Diceros bicornis minor: one gene and its partner. The protein of the gene in region 1 interacts with the protein of each later gene in a biochemical or structural test. Links are inferred from orthologs where the notes say so. Each region holds a gene or a part of one and is shown on either strand. Other genes may lie near its edges. The genes, in order: NUFIP2 and FMR1.

The links.
Region 2: the proteins of NUFIP2 (region 1) and FMR1 form a complex in vitro, tested with the Homo sapiens proteins (2 studies listed by BioGRID and IntAct, with this or other methods). The link is inferred for Diceros bicornis minor from reciprocal best matches to the Homo sapiens genes NUFIP2 and FMR1.

Annotation. Positions count from the first base shown.
Region 1 is NC_080757.1:18,335,836-18,344,066, reverse strand, and holds the start of NUFIP2 (FMR1-interacting protein NUFIP2), read right to left. Parts: upstream 3,091-8,231; 5' UTR 3,025-3,090; coding exon 2,748-3,024; intron 1-2,747. UniProt on the Homo sapiens protein: Binds RNA.
Region 2 is NC_080781.1:132,463,550-132,470,932, reverse strand, and holds the start of FMR1 (fragile X messenger ribonucleoprotein 1), read right to left. Parts: upstream 3,250-7,383; 5' UTR 3,017-3,249; coding exon 2,966-3,016; intron 1-2,965.

The DNA of each region.
Region 1 (8,231 bases):
TTTAATCATATAAAAATTTTCCCAAGGCAACCTTGTTGGTAGGCAGTCACCCACAGACACAGTTTCATTTTAAAACTTACGTATTTAAGAAAAATGTAAATACTATAGAATTACTCAGAGAAATCAAAGGACTCCTAGTGCCTTTATTACTAAGGGTTGCCATGTTAAAGCATCTAACCCTACTTCAAATGGACGCAGCAAAACCTGAGTCCTGCTGACTTTTGGATTAGAAACTGAAATTACTGAACACATTTGGGCCTCTCCTGCGACCTCTTCTGGATAAATAAAAACTGTTCCTCTTCATAGGTTTGTGGGTAATGGGTCATAAAAGCCCACCTCAACAAATTACAGATCCATTTCAAAAATCCTCATAAGTTTTCTCAGTAAATGAGCATTATGTATGTTGAAGCAATAGTACTGTGACCAGGCCACACACGAAAAACTGCTCATCCTAAATTGTTTACATTCTCTCAAAATTGCTAAGCCCAGTTTCCCCTATTTACCCCCTTCCAGGACAAGACATACTAATTTGAAGGATGCCACTTTGAATAGCTCAAAGGCTGCTTCTATATGTAGACAGAAGTCCTGCAGGAGCGTGTATAGTCATACAGTACCTGATCAACAAAATACAATTTTCCAATCTGAACAGTAATACTGCCTTATATTCCAAGCAACTATAATAAGGTAAGATTTTCTCACCCTTAAGTTGAAAAAGACCTAACGATAAAAAGATCTAGTGTTGTATAGTTTCTAACAGTTTTTAAACTGCTCCAGACCTTAGGATTAAACACTCAACATATTTACATGTTTATTTCCACCACACACCATCAGTCCCCACCATCCTCCAAAATAGAAAATCTGACATTCTAATTTCAGTCTTCAAGTTACACTAAGTCCGCAACAGAAAAGTAGTTTTTCTCCAGCTCTCAGTAACTGCTTGTAACAAATCTGACATGCTGGGTTTAACATTCATTTTCTTACCATTCCTTCGTTTCTCTTCAATTTATAAAGAACCCTTAGTTTTTAAAATCTGCGTGCTTACAAATTTTTAAGTTCACCTCTTCTCAAATGTTTTCTAAAATGACTTTTACTCTCAATTTAACAATTGTTCAAAACGAGTTTTGGCATCAATATCGGTTTAAAGGAGAAAACACCTTTCAACATGGAAAAAGCCTCATCCGAGGCAAGATGGTAGTGAACTAACCTCATGGATGAGCCACCTCGGTTCACCCCTAACGACAAGAAACAGGGATCAAAAAAAACTCGCCCTCTCCCCCGTCTAATCAAACATTTTTCTAATCTCTCTCCTCAAAAACACTACCCAAGCCCAGAAGGTAAATGTTGGGGAGGTTAGAAGGAGATAGAACAAGTTTTTTTTTTTTGTAAAAATGAGCTGCTAGAAGGAAAGGGCCCAAGTGAAAGCCTGAGAGGCGGAGTCGTGAGCGAACCTGGCAGGAGACGAGGTTCCTGTGGCAGAGAAACTCGTGACCGGGGAGCCCGGTTCCCGCTGGGTACCCCACCCGGCCTTCAGGCACCGCCTCTACGCAAAATGTATGCCCCCCCAGCCCTCCTGCCCCGAGGAGCACGGCGGCCGCCGCCCGCGGCCTCCTTCTCCCTCGGCTCCGCTCCGCTCGGAGGCCGGCTCCCCGCCCTGACCGCCCGCGCCTCCCGCCGCACCCGGGAGCGGGAAACGCGGCCGCCGGCGCGCGGGGCCGGCGCAGGCCGCTCCCCTCGTGGCCGCTTCCCTCCCCCACCTCAACCGCCCCCGCCCCTCACCCCAGGGACCCGCCCGGGGCCGCGCGGCCGCCACCGGGTTACACAACCCGGCCGGCGACGGGGGGAGGGGCAGCCGCGGGCCTGGGGCGGCGGCGCCCCCGCAGTGCGGGGGGGCCAGGCGACAGTCCGAAGGGATCCCCAGCGACCCGGCTCAGCCGCGCCGAGCGCCCCTCGACACCCTTCCCCCTCCGCTCCTCAGTGGCCCGGAGTCGGTGACAGGAATCGGCTTCCAACATGGCGGACAGGAAGCGGCCCCGCGAGGAGGAGAGAACATTCCAGCCGCGCCGGCTCTGGGGGGAGCGGGCCCGGGGCGCACGCCTCGGGAGGAGCCGCGGGGACAAACTGCGGGGTCTGGTGCCGAAAAGGAGCGTCTAGGGGTGGAAATGACCCGAAAGACGAGGGGTCCCAACCGCCCCCCCCCGACGGGGAACCCCAAGGCCACAGGTGGGCTTGGGGCGGCGAGTGAGAGAGGACACTTCCTCAACTCTGCCCACCTACCCTCTCCTCGCCGCCTGCAAAAGGGTCTCGCGACACTACCCGAGTCGGGATTCGCTAGGCCTTCCTGAGTTACACCCAAAGGATTTCTTTGGGGGGGCGCTGGGTTCACCCCAACTCAGGGCCCCCAAATTAAGGTCCTTCCAGGGCCGCAGGAAGGTGAACGGGAAAGGAATAGTAAGGCTAGACTTCCAAGGCCGACCCTCCGGGTCTCCCTCCAGCCCGGGCGGGGGCCGGGAAGGTCACACTGGCCTGGTTGGGCCTCTCCCATGCTGAGGGGAAGGAGAGGGTGCTGCAAGCCCCGCGGCTCAGCCCGAGGTTTGGGAAAATGAAAGGGGGCTTCCCCAGACCCGCAGGACACACACACGCACACGCGCACCCCGAACCCGTTCGCGCTTTCCTGATCCAGCCCCACCCCCATCTCCCCTACCCGCCACCCCCCATTCCCCTTCCCCCATTCGTCCTCCCTCCCAGACCTGTTTTCTTCTTCGGCGTTTCCTGGTGCTGCTGGAGGGCGTGTTTCTGCTCATGTTTCAGCGGCTTTGGCTGGGCCTTGGGGCTGCCCTCGGCTCCATGCTGCAGGTATTGGTGAGGCTGCTGGTGATGGTGGTGGTGATGGTGGTTGTGGCTGTGGTTGTAGAAATAATAATGGTGGTGGTGGTGCGGCGGCTGCTGCTGCTGCTGGGGATGATGGTGCGGATGGTGGTGGCTGTGATGGTGCTGAGACTGTGGCTGGCCGGGCTTCTCCTCCATTGAAAGCGGCTGGGACTCCCTGGCTGAGGCTGCGGGCTGCTGCACCGTCAGGATCTGAGACTGCTTCTCAGGGCTCGCTCAGTATATCTGACCGCGTCTCGCCAGCGCACTGGTTAACCCAGCGATTCGGCGAGATTGGCAGCCGCACTCCAGCAATCAGGAGCCACGCTGCGCCGCAGGCCCCGCCCCTAGCCCAAATCCTCTTTCCTTCCCCTTCGCCACTGCCTTCTGGCCAACGCCGCTTACCCTATGCAACCTCACAGGGCCGGGCCTTCAACGTCAGCACTATGGCTCTCTCTTCTGTCGCTTTTTCTCCTTCACCACGCAGTCTGCGAACCGCACTTTCTACACTCCTCGCCGGCAAGCAAGCTCATGTCGAGTGTAGCAGATTCCACTGGCGATTCCACTGGCTCTGGGAGCCATCTGTTGGTTTTGCACCTCCTAGAATCTGTTGGCTTTTTTTTTCTTTTAATCCTTTTCCGGGTAACCAGAGGGGAAGCTCAATTCCCTTAACCCTGAGACCACTAAAGGGGCAATACAAAAAGAGGAAATAAATACATTTTTAAGAATACAAGAGCTTCGCAATCCAGTAGATCATTTTGTATTCTGGATTCATTTTGCTTTGTATTCATATGCTAATCTCTTCCTTTCCACGAAGGGATTATAGGGTTCCACAATGGGGTATCTGTGTAATTTTCTAAAAGGGCACAAAGGGTTTAAATCATTGTTTCTTTGTAGTTGGAGGCAAGGGAGAGCGGGAGGAATGAAAATCTAAAATCTACACTGAAGATTTTTTTTTTTTTTGACTCTGCAGGTGAGGTCAACTGTGAAACCGAGATAGGTTTTAGAATATGAAGAGATTCAAAAGCAAAAGAAGAGGGAAAAGCACACTTTAAAAGTTATTAAGTTTGTAAAAAATTGTTTGCATTTGTGGGAAATGTTGGAATTTAAAGAAGTACTTTGTTGCATTTCGTAGTATTGATTTAACTTATCCTGCAAAATCACATCACAGCCTGATTTTTAAAAGCAAACATTACCGCCGGCGTTCGGATCCCCGGCGCGCACCGCACCGCTTCTCTGGCCATGCTGAGGCCGTGTCCCACATACAGCAACTAGAAGGATGTGCAGCTATGACATACAACTATCTACTGGGGCTTTGGGGGAAAAAATAAATAAATAAATTAAAAATTAAAAAAAAGCAAACATTAGTCAGGATAGTGGTTACTCAGAAAGGAAGAAAAGGGTTAGTGCTGGGGAGGGGTACAAATAATAGGGTGACTATACATATATTTGCTTTATAATTATTTCTTAAACTGAATATGTATGTATGTGTAACAGTTTTCTCAGTATATGTATTATTGGGGGGATTTTTTTTAATTTACCATAAAACATAAAATTTACTATTTTCACCATTTTTAAGTACACAGTTCAGTGGCAGTAAGTACACTCACATTGTTGTGCAACCATTATCACTGTCCATTTCCAGAACTTTTTCATCATCCCAAACTGAACCCCTGTACCCATTAAACAATAACTCCCCTTTCCTTACTCCCTTCGTCCCCTGGTAACCACTATTTATTTCTCTCTCTCTATGATACCTCATATAAGTGGAATCACACAATATTTGTGCTTTTGTGTCTGACATTTCATTTAGCATAATGTCTTTGAGGTTCATCCATGTTGTGGTATGTATCAGAATTTCCTTCCTTTTTAAGGCTGAATAATATTCCATTGTATGTATATGCCACATTTTGTTTATCCATTCATTCAGCAATGGATATATGGGTTGTTTCCTCAACGTATGTCATATTTTACAATTTTTAAAATGTGCCTTGAATTCCTACAACAGGACAATGTTAAAGGAACAAAGAAAAGCTTAAAAGGAAAAGTTTCTGATCTGAAATTAATAAATATCAACACAAAAGCGTAATTAAAAAGTAAAAGCCCTTTTCTGACAGCAAATGTCACTGAATCCAGACAACCATGACCAGATCTTGACTTATTCTTTATAGTGAGGGTTTGTATTGCCTTGCTAAATTTTAAAGGAAGACCTCTTCAGGTGGGGGGAAGTATATTTACCCAATTTTGAGAGCTAAAACCTCAATAATAACATATTGTGACAAATAAGTCTTTGCCATTGAATAGTATTCCACCACTTACCCATCTATTAAAGAAGAAATAGGGGCTGGCCCCGTGGCTTAGCGGTTAAGTGCGTGCGCTCTGCTACTGGCGGCCCAGGGTTCGGACCCCGGGCGTGCACCAACACACCGCTTCTCTGGCCATGCTGAGGCCGCATCTCACATACAGCAACTAGCAGGATGTGCAACTATGACATACAACTATCTACTGGGGCTTTGGGGGCAAAAAAAAAGGAGGAGGATTGGCAATAGATGTTAGCTCAGAGCCGGTCTTCCTCAGCAAAAAGAGGAGGATTAGCATGGATGTTAGCTCAGGGCTGATCTTCCTCACAAAAAAAAAAAAGAAGAAGAAGAAATAAAAGTGTATATAGAATTTAGGGTTAGTTGATAGAGCTTTATGTTCTTTTGCTGACTTAGACATTTAGTTGGAAGGCAAAAATTCCTGAGTTCTAACTTCTCTTTCTACATTTTCTACATTCTAGTTGCAGGCAAACCAAAAGCACTCACTCTGAGTTGCTGACTTATCACACCTTAGCCTGCTTTAGTTTCTTCACATACGGTTGTATGAAGTTTAGGAAACTAAGCCTTGCTCTCAGATGCTCTACTTACTATGAATGTTGCTTTAGTAGTATGTAGGAGTACAGAGAAAGGCTTGTGATATAATGTAAGAAAAATGCAGAATATCAAATTCCTTGTACACTAGGATCATAACCTTGTAAAAACATGAATATTTTAATAAGTATGGAAATACAACAGTAGAATGTGTACCTTTTCTTTCACCTGATTTTTCTAAGTTTTACGTAAAATATATTTGATATTTGTCATGTATTTGAAAATAATAATGCCATAATATCAAACCTCTATGAAAAGAGAATGATTGCATCTACTTATTTTAAGCATATTTTTAAAAAATGGAATCTGCATTTAGGAAAAAAACAACAAGGAAATATAGCATAAGTCTGGTGAACTTATGGGTGCCTTGTTTTTTCTTTTCTCTATTTTCCAAATATTCTGTTATGTATTTATTACTTTTCATAACAACATTATTTTTAAAAATTAAAATCATAAAAAATTGAGTCTGCACAATCCTTTGAAATTCATTTTACACCATATTTTACCTACAGTCAATGTGAGAAATTATAATGGAGAGGCAGGAGGTTCCCAATATATGATAGGTTAATGTTTTATCTATGGCTGTAATCATAATAGCTAATATTTATTGAGCATTTACTACATACTGTGTGTCAGGAACTGTACCAAGTATTTCATCTTTGTTTTCATTTGTAATTCTTTGAGATATATAAGCCCATTCTACAGATGAGGAATTTGAGGGCTGAGGAAGTTAAGAGACTTGTTTATAATTTAAAAGCCACCAAGTTTATAGTGGGGCCTGAAATAGATTCCAGGTTGGCTGGATAGAAAGAATTTCTAACACTTTCAAAGTGTGATATACATTTCTCAAATTTTACTAAACCTCTAAAAAACATTCAAGCTATATCATAACCACCATGAAGATGGTATCTACCATAACCACCATGAAGATGGTATCTGGTTATTAACAGAGGCAGATGTACTGTGAAGCTAAAGAAGATTCAGGGCCCCTCACTGCACAGGCTCATTCAAGGCCCCAGAGGGACCCTAGAATTGGTCTTTTGAAAGAGCTAGATATTTTTTCATTATTTTGTAAAATTTTAAAAAGTAATATATTTTTGTATTTTTTTCCTTGATGAGGGCCCCCCAAAACCTGGATTCACCCCTGTTAATAGTCATTTGGGAAGCTGACTCAGAAGTGTTGTAATTTCAATAGGTACTTTAAAAGGTTAGTCATATTTTATAACAACATGGGAAAATGTTGACACTGCAACACAAGTACAAAAAGCAAAATAACATATGTATACATTATGATTGCGTATAAAATATGAATTAAAAGACTGTGAGGGAACTTGAAAAATGAAAGTAATAAAATCTTTCTATTCATTGTTCATTCACAAATATTTATTAGGCACTTTTTTTTTATGTACCAGGTATTATGCTTTTTGTTATTTCGAGGTTTTTTAAATCCATTTCTCTTATTGATACAGTTTTGGGACTCGGTTAAATATATTTGCAAGTCTGTCTTAATTATCAAATGAAAGTCACTTTGGGCCAGCCCCGTGGCTTAGCGGTTAAGTGCACGCACTCCGCTACTGGCGGCCCGGGTTCGCATCCCAGGCGCGCACCTACGCACCGCTTCTCCGGCCATGCTGAGGCCGCGTCCCACATACAGCAACTAGAAGGATGTGCAACTATGACATACAACCATCTACTGGGGCTTTGGGGGAAAAAGAAAAAAAGGAGGAGGATTGGCAGTGGATGTTAGCTCAGAGCTGGTCTTCCTCAGCAAAAAGAGGATGATTAGCATGGATGTTAGCTCAGGGCTGATCTCCCTCAAAAAAAAAAAAAAATGAAAGTCACTTTTCACACGCCTTTAATCTTATACTTTGTGTGCTATGACAACTTAAAAGATACAGAAATACTTAATTCTCCCGGCTTCAATTTTCTCCTCTCTACAATATAGAGAATGGGCAAAGTAGCCTCCAAATTTCTTCCCACTCTAACATTCCATGATCATATCTCTGCTTTTTCTCCCTGGACTACCCCTTTATTTTATTATAATAAAACTATACAGCAGCAGGAAATTTAGCTGATAAAAATCTAGTATTTCAACTGTAACAATTGACTATAACTTTACAGAAATTATCATCAGAAACAGTATTATGTAGTTTTATATAAATGGAAATCGGCTCTCTGATGATAGTTCCAGTTTCAAAATGAGGCAAATCACTGGTAACATCCACTGTTTTATTTCAGCAGGGAAAGAATTTTATTCATGTATATTTCCTTTAGATCTTAATATTTTTGCCTAGAGACACTAACTTCAAAAAACTTTCAAAGGAGTTGAACAGAAGTATGGGTAAATTAAGTTGGTCTTTTAATAAGTGGAATATGACAACTTTTCTAAATATGAAAGTTTTTTAAATTGACATTTTGCTTTTATGAAAAGTATTATGGGAAAAAGTTTGAGGGAGA
Region 2 (7,383 bases), on another chromosome or scaffold:
TACTAGTATACAAAACCTAGGAATCTTAGGATACATTAGTACATACATTCATATTGGCATGACATACATTCTACATCTAAAATGGAGTTAATTCATTTCCATTCTCAATAAATCAAAACTCTTTAGTCAGAAAAAAATTTACTATACTATTTTAGGCAGATGTCCCTAGAAAAAACACCTTATTTCAACATTATTCGTTTAGGAAATGTTTTGTAAAGATCTTGTGAGGTATAATTCAAGTGTCTTCATGTCTTAAATAACATTAGGCTCTATAAATTGCACATGTGACTTATTTCTAAGTCAAAGAAATACCTAAGCATAAAAGTAGTGGCTCTGACAACTACTAAATCTAATTGTCAAGTGTTTAAGAATAAACACCAAAGGGAAAAATAGAAATGAGCTGTTACAATCTCAGGGTTTAGGTTTCATGGTTCTGTAAATTCTGAATCCTGAGAGTTACTTTACACAGACTTTGTAAAGTAATTTTGAGTTACTTTATAGAGAAAGAATCCAAATGTTCACAGCATATACTCTATCCAGTTTATATTGCAAACTTGGACCATGCACTCAGAAGATGGAGAACTGTCCCTTGTAATATGGTGGTTCTGTTAGGCAAATCAAAGTCTGAATTCAATTATACTGAAGTCGTTTGAGTTGTTTAGTTTGTAAAGGTTTTTCTATCAATTTGATGAACCAGCGTCTGATTTTTTCATAAATGTAACATTTCTCCATAATAGTTCATTTTTTATTGGTCTTTATTTCCCATCTTTTCTGCCCATCCCACTGGACAAGCAACTCAGTTTACTTTTGCTTTACTTTCATAACTCAAAGCAATATTGAGTCCTATAAAAAAAATTAAGGCTTTTCCATTACAGAAACTATTTTTCCACCAATACAGACCATTTGAGATATTCTTAAAAATAAACCTTAATTAAATAAACATAACAGCAATTTCTCTACATACATTTGTTTAAGTTTCACATTTCCCCTCAAGTAACTAAGGGACAACCACTCTTTTTATTCACCTCCATATTAAGCAACTTGGTTAAAAAACAAAAACAGGCGGGATTAACAGCAAAGATAGAGGGAATTTCTTATATTCCAATCAGTTTGCAAGCAAAATCACAGAAGCAAATCATAGGTTGCTGGAAGAGAACAATAAATCCTTCAAGACCAGGATGTGCTACTTGCCCTCCATAGCAAGCAAACTACACTAAAGACAGTAAGAGTGGCGTCCAATCTGAGCTAATATCACAGATCTATTAGAATACTGCTCAACCATTAGCCTCTGCTCATATTTATTATAGTTAGCGCCACAAATCTAGTGAGTAAAACTATCAATCTAGGAACCAGAACGATTCTACACAAACCAGCAGAAATTATGCATCACTGAAATACATACAACCAAAATTCTGACTGCAGAGTCAACTGAAACTGTTAAGAACATAACTGCTGGGTTATTTTTTCATCCTTTTACAGCTAAAGGTTTCATCTTTTTGCTAAAAGTATGGGACAGTTTACATACTTTACTCACTTATGAAATATACCGATCTCCAAATATCTCCATAAAATTAGTAAACACACATATAGTTAAGTCAACTGTTTATTTTCCTATAGCCAAACGAGTCCCATTTGAAACGTTTAAGTTATCCCATAATAAACTGAAGAATTGTGTTGGACAATGGCAATAGCTAATTTCCATGCCTGCTTCCATACCCACCACCTTCTATTGCCAAAACACTGTAGTAAAGTGGGATGTTACTTACAGAAGCTATAGAGGGACATTCAAGAGAAAAGGAGAATTTATAGATTACTAGAGCTACAGTAAGTACGTACCAACAGACGCACTACCAGTACATCAATACACCAAAATATTTTCAATCCTCCTTTTGAAAATGTAAGGTATCAGCCGATCTGCAATGGTGTAACTTAAAAAACAAAAACCCACAGTAAAACCATACATGCCTATTTAAAACCTCAACAATACAGTCCACTACAACATTACACACAGAAAACATAGTCATGTATTTGGAGCACAAAACAATTATTTCCACTCACTTTTTCAAGTTCCCTAGTAATAAAATACTCTGTTAATTTCCTGAAGTTTCACGGCATATATTCAGGGTTTTGGAGGGTTAAAATTTTTTTTTTTCTCAAGCAACAGATTTGCTAATGTTTTTAGATGCTGAAGCATCTGTATTCCTGACTTTGCCCACATTCATAACAGGGAGGGAGGCTGCGAATATTCAAGATTACCAACTTCTTTAATGCATTACTCGGATATGTCAAGGTATTCCTGAAACTTTTGGATCTAAAATCTCTTCTGAAATCCACAAAGAGAGGCCACTAAAAATCAGTTGCCATTGTGATTTGGTACTGACTACAGCTTCTTACTATTCTTTCTTCACACCCCTCGCCCAGAGCAGTGGAGCTCTCCGAAGTCCCAATGCTGGACAGGAAAAGAGAAGCCAAAGGAGATCTCAAATCCTCTTTACAAGGCAGGAGGCGGCGGCTCGACGGAAGCGCCCCCAGCTCCTCAGCAACTACCCACACGTCAGGCCCGGATCCCACTTGGAGAGGATATTTAGGAAAAGAGAAATAAGCCGTCGCCGTCACTCCGCGCGGATACCCGCCCTTCTCGCCAGGATCTCGTACCTGCCGCCGGCCCTCGCCCATCCGCAGCTCTCCCTGGCGGGGTTCGGCCCCCGAAAGGGCACCCGCTTCTCCTTGCCCACTTCTCATTCCTATAGGCGCCGGGGCCTCTCGTAGGCGAGGCAGCGGGGCTCGAGGGGCTTCCCACAGGCCCCAAGTCCGCTCTTCCCTCCCAAACAACATCCCGCCGAGCGCGCCCTGGCCCCTGGGCGCGGCGCTCGGCAAGAGGGCCCCAGGCCTGCCTCCCGCCGAAGCCAAGAAGAAAAGGGAGGGAAAGAAGGGCGAAGATGGGGCCTGCCTTGGAGCCAAGTACCTTGTAGAAAGCGCCATTGGAGCCCCGCACTTCCACCACCAGCTCCTCCATCTTCTCGTCGGCCCTGCTCGCGCCGGGAGCCCGCCCCCGAGAGGTGGGCTGCGGGCGCTCGAGGCCCAGCCGCCGCCGCCGCCGCCGCCGCCGCCGCCGCGCTGCCGCACGCCCCCCGGCAGCGGCACCGCCGTCACCGCCGCCCGCGCTCGCCGTCGGCTCACCGCCCGCTCAGAGGCGGACCCTCACCGGAAGTGAAACCGAAACGGAGCCGAGCGCCTGACTGAGGCCGAACGCTCTGGCCGTTCCGCGTGTAAACAGTGAAACCGCATCACGTGACCGGCGCCGCCCCTCCCCCCGCGGGCTCAGCCCCCTCGGCTCCGCCCTCTTTCTCCTCGCGGGCCCAGGAGCGCGCGCATGCGCTCTGCTGGGACCCGGCCGTGGAGGCCGGGCCCAACGTAAGGCGCGCGGGCTCGGCAGAGGGCGGGAATGCAGGAAGGGCGGCGACGGGTCGCAGCGCTGGCCGAGGTCGCGCTGCTTCGCGTTGCCCAGCGAGCGCCAGAGCGCCCGTTCCTGTAAAGGGGCAATCGGAGGCGTGGGAAAGAGCCTCCCGTAGCGATCGAGTGGATTCACTTATCCGAGTCCGGCTGGCTGGCTTGGGTTGGAAGGTTTTTTTTTTTTTTTTTGAAGTGGGGCAGGATCTGATTGAGCTGGAGGTGGAGTAGGGGACAAGAGTAAAGGTGAAAAATTAGATTGAAGACTTTGAACTAGTAATAGTAGCAACCACGGTGACCCAGGTTTGTGTGACCCTTAGAGGCAGGAGGTGAGAGTAACACCGCCCCCACCCCCAAGAGATTTTGGGCTGTATTTTGACATGTCCTGTGCCTCTGAGGGGCAATGGATTGTGTCAGGACCTCTGAAAATGTTAGTCTTTCCTCAGATCCAGCACTGATCCATATACTTCCCTTTCGATTCGGTTTCATACTTTTACTTGACATACGTAAAAAAAAGTTAAACACTTTTTAGTTCCTTTACAGTTTATTTCCCTACTATTTTGCTCCTTCTGTATGCCCACCCTCTACCAAAGCGTGGGTGGGCATGTGTAGAGTACTCCGGTGACCTATCTACAGGGGTCCTGCACCTGTTTCCTTGCAGCTCTCCCCCTTTGCTCTTCACAGGAGAACAAGTTGCAACTCTTGCTCATTCCTCCTTCTGCACTGTGCTTGTATCCACCTTGACCTAGGTTTCTTTTGTAAGGCTTGTATCCAACTGAGAAGCTTATTGACCCCCTACCAGATACCAGGCACTGTGCTAAGTGCTAGTGAGACATTGGGAAAGAAAAATAAAGCAAGAAAAGAGAAAGAAAGAAAAGACAGCCAGCATAGAACTTGGAACCTAGATGCATAGATGGACATAAATTATCAGAAAAGTAAATGGGGAGTTGCAACTGTAGTAAGAGCTGTGATGAATAGGTACAGCTATGATAGTAGGACAGGACCCAGTCTGGGGTAGGGGAGGAGAAGTCAGAGCTGGGAAATGACTCCAGCTGGAGTGCCACCAGTATGAGTTAACTAGCAGCACTAAGTTGGTGGAGGTGGGGTGAACTGACCCAGGCAGGTGCCCCAGAACGTGAGGCATTCCTGGACCTCCAGTTCCCTTCCCACCCCACTCCTAGCCAGAGCAGCAGTGTTGTTGCTGATGGAGCTCCAATTTTAAAGCAGTGGATCAAGGGCCACCTTCCTTGAGGCCACAGTCAACAGGAATGACCCATTGGACCGGGGTTTCTGGAGTAGTCACAAGATACAAAGACCCCAATAGGGCTGAAAGAGAATTTCACCATATGCTAGATGGGAACAGAGCGTGATCTTTAACCCCAATGTAGTAAAAGGGCACAGATTTGTTAGAATGATTATACCTTCCACGTGTGGGATGTTGTTCAGTTTACCCAGGGCTTTCAAATATTATCAGCTCTTTACAACCAGTACAAGCCACACTAAACTGGTGCTGTTCCCTGAACCTGTGATGCACTTTCATGCCTTCATGTCTCTACACATGCTTCCTGGCCCCCAGAAATACCCTTCTCCTTAGGGTCATCACCTGGATTCCTATTAGCTAGTTGTTTTACCTCAGCTGCAGAGAGTTGAGTTAACTTTGCTCCTCAATTCTCAATACATTGCCGTCATCAGTCCCTGCAAGACCCTTCTCTTATTTATATTATTTTATATTGTTTATAATATTTTCCTCGTCTTTCTCAATCCTCACTCTCATTCTCTTTCTAGACACCTGCAATCCGTTTGATATAGATCCTTGACAATTTAAGACATGCAGTGTTTTGTGTATGCCTTTTACATTTACAGAGATGGTATTGGACTGTACATCTGTTTTGCACTGTTTTCATTCAACACTACGTTCTTGAGCTATATCCACATTACTGTGTGTACACCTAGTTTTTGGCTTCTAACTGCTGCTGAGTATTCAAGAGATTTTACTGATACATTTCCCCACTGATGGGCATCTAGGTTACTGCCAATTCCCTGTTGTCACACTGTGGTGAAAACCCTTGTGAATGTCTTTACGAACCTTAGCAAGAATTTCTTTTGTGCTCTTATAGAACCTTCTACATACCTCCTGCTTCCTCACCACACTGCTTGGCATATAGCAGGGACTCAGTAAATGTTAAATACCTCTACTATGATGCTTAATGTACTAGAATCACTTATTTATATTTCTGTTTCCCTCACTGGACTTTGAGTTCCTTCCAGGCAGGAAAGATGTCTTATTTATCTTTGTGTCCCTGGCACAGAGTTAGTTGCTCAAGCCTAAAACTGAGTCATTTTGACCCTCTCTTTCTTGCACACATCTAATCCATCAGCAAATTCTTTCGGAGACCATAATGTATTTCTCACCGCTTGCACTGCTAAAACCATGGTCCAAGCCCCTATTCTCTCTCACCTGGATTATTGCAACAACTTCGCTGGTCTCCCTGCAGCCACTCTTATCCTCTGTCTAGTCTCAACACAGAAGAGAGAGTGACCCTATTCAGGTGTCAGTCAAGTCACTCTCCACTCAGAACCCTCCAATTGTTCCCTAAATGCCTCCGGGTAAAAGCCAAAGTCCTTATTTATTCTGGCCTCACTGTCCTACCCACATTCGCCTCTGTTATCTCCTCTATCTCACCTTTTACCTCCCTGCTTCACTCCATTCCAGCCATACTGGCTTCTTTGCTACTTCTTGAAAATACCAGTCAGGTTCTGTCTGTCTCCTCTCCCTAGAATGTAAGTTCAGTGGGAACAGAGGTTTTTTTGTTTCTTTTATTACCTGTACGTCCCCAGTGCCTACCACAATGTTTAGAACACAGCAGGTGCTTACTAAATATTTATTGAATGAATGAATGTGTTGAGGACCCAGCTTGGGTCAAGTCTGCTCCCATGGCCTATATTTACCTGATATTGGAATGATGCTTCAGCACTTCTAGCCTTGCCTTGGCCCTTCGCTTCCATTAAATTGCTGCCTCTTGTCTTTGCATCGATTTATTCTGTGTTGCTTCCTGCTCCTTTGCAATTTGAGCCCTTTAAGTCTTTTTCCTGCCTCAATCCCAGCTGAAATGCCCTTTGTCCTTTCCAATTCTAGAAATCCTGTGTACCCTCTAGGACCCAGCTAAAACCTCACTTCTTTCATGACACTTTCTCTGACAATTTCACCTCACTTTGACTTCCCCTTTGAAGTAGATATTACAAAAAAAAATTAATAGTCTTTATGTTTTAGGATAGTTTTAGATTTACAGGAAAATTGAGCAGATAGTAGCGAGTTCCCATATCAGTTCCCTGATACCTCCCTCCCAGTTTCCTCTATTATTAACATCTTACATTACTGGGGTATATTTGCTTTCGTTGATGAGCCAATATTGATACCTTATTATTAACTAAAGTTCATAGTTCACATTAAGGTTCACTCTTTGTGTATGCATTTTGACAAATGCGTAATATCATGCATCCACCATTAGAGTATCATGTAGAATAGTTCCACCACTCTAAAAATCCCCTGTGCTCCACCTCTTTATTCATCAGCTCAACCTCCTAACCCTTGGTAACTACTGATGTTTTTACTGTCTCCATAGATTTTCCTTTTCCAGAGTGTCATATAGTTGGAGTTATACAGTATGTAGCCTTTTCAGATTGACTTCTTTCACTTAGCAATATGCATTTAAGGTTCCTCCATGTCTTTTCATGGCTTGATAGCTCATTTATTTTTAGCGCTGAATAATATTCTGTTGTCTATTCTGTTATATTGTGTGGATGTACCACAATTTATTTATCCATTCACCTACTGAAGGACATTTTGGTTGCTTCCAGTTTTTGTCGATTATAAATAAAGCTGCTGTAAATATTCGTTTGCAGGTTTGTGTGGACATAAGCGTTCAACTCATT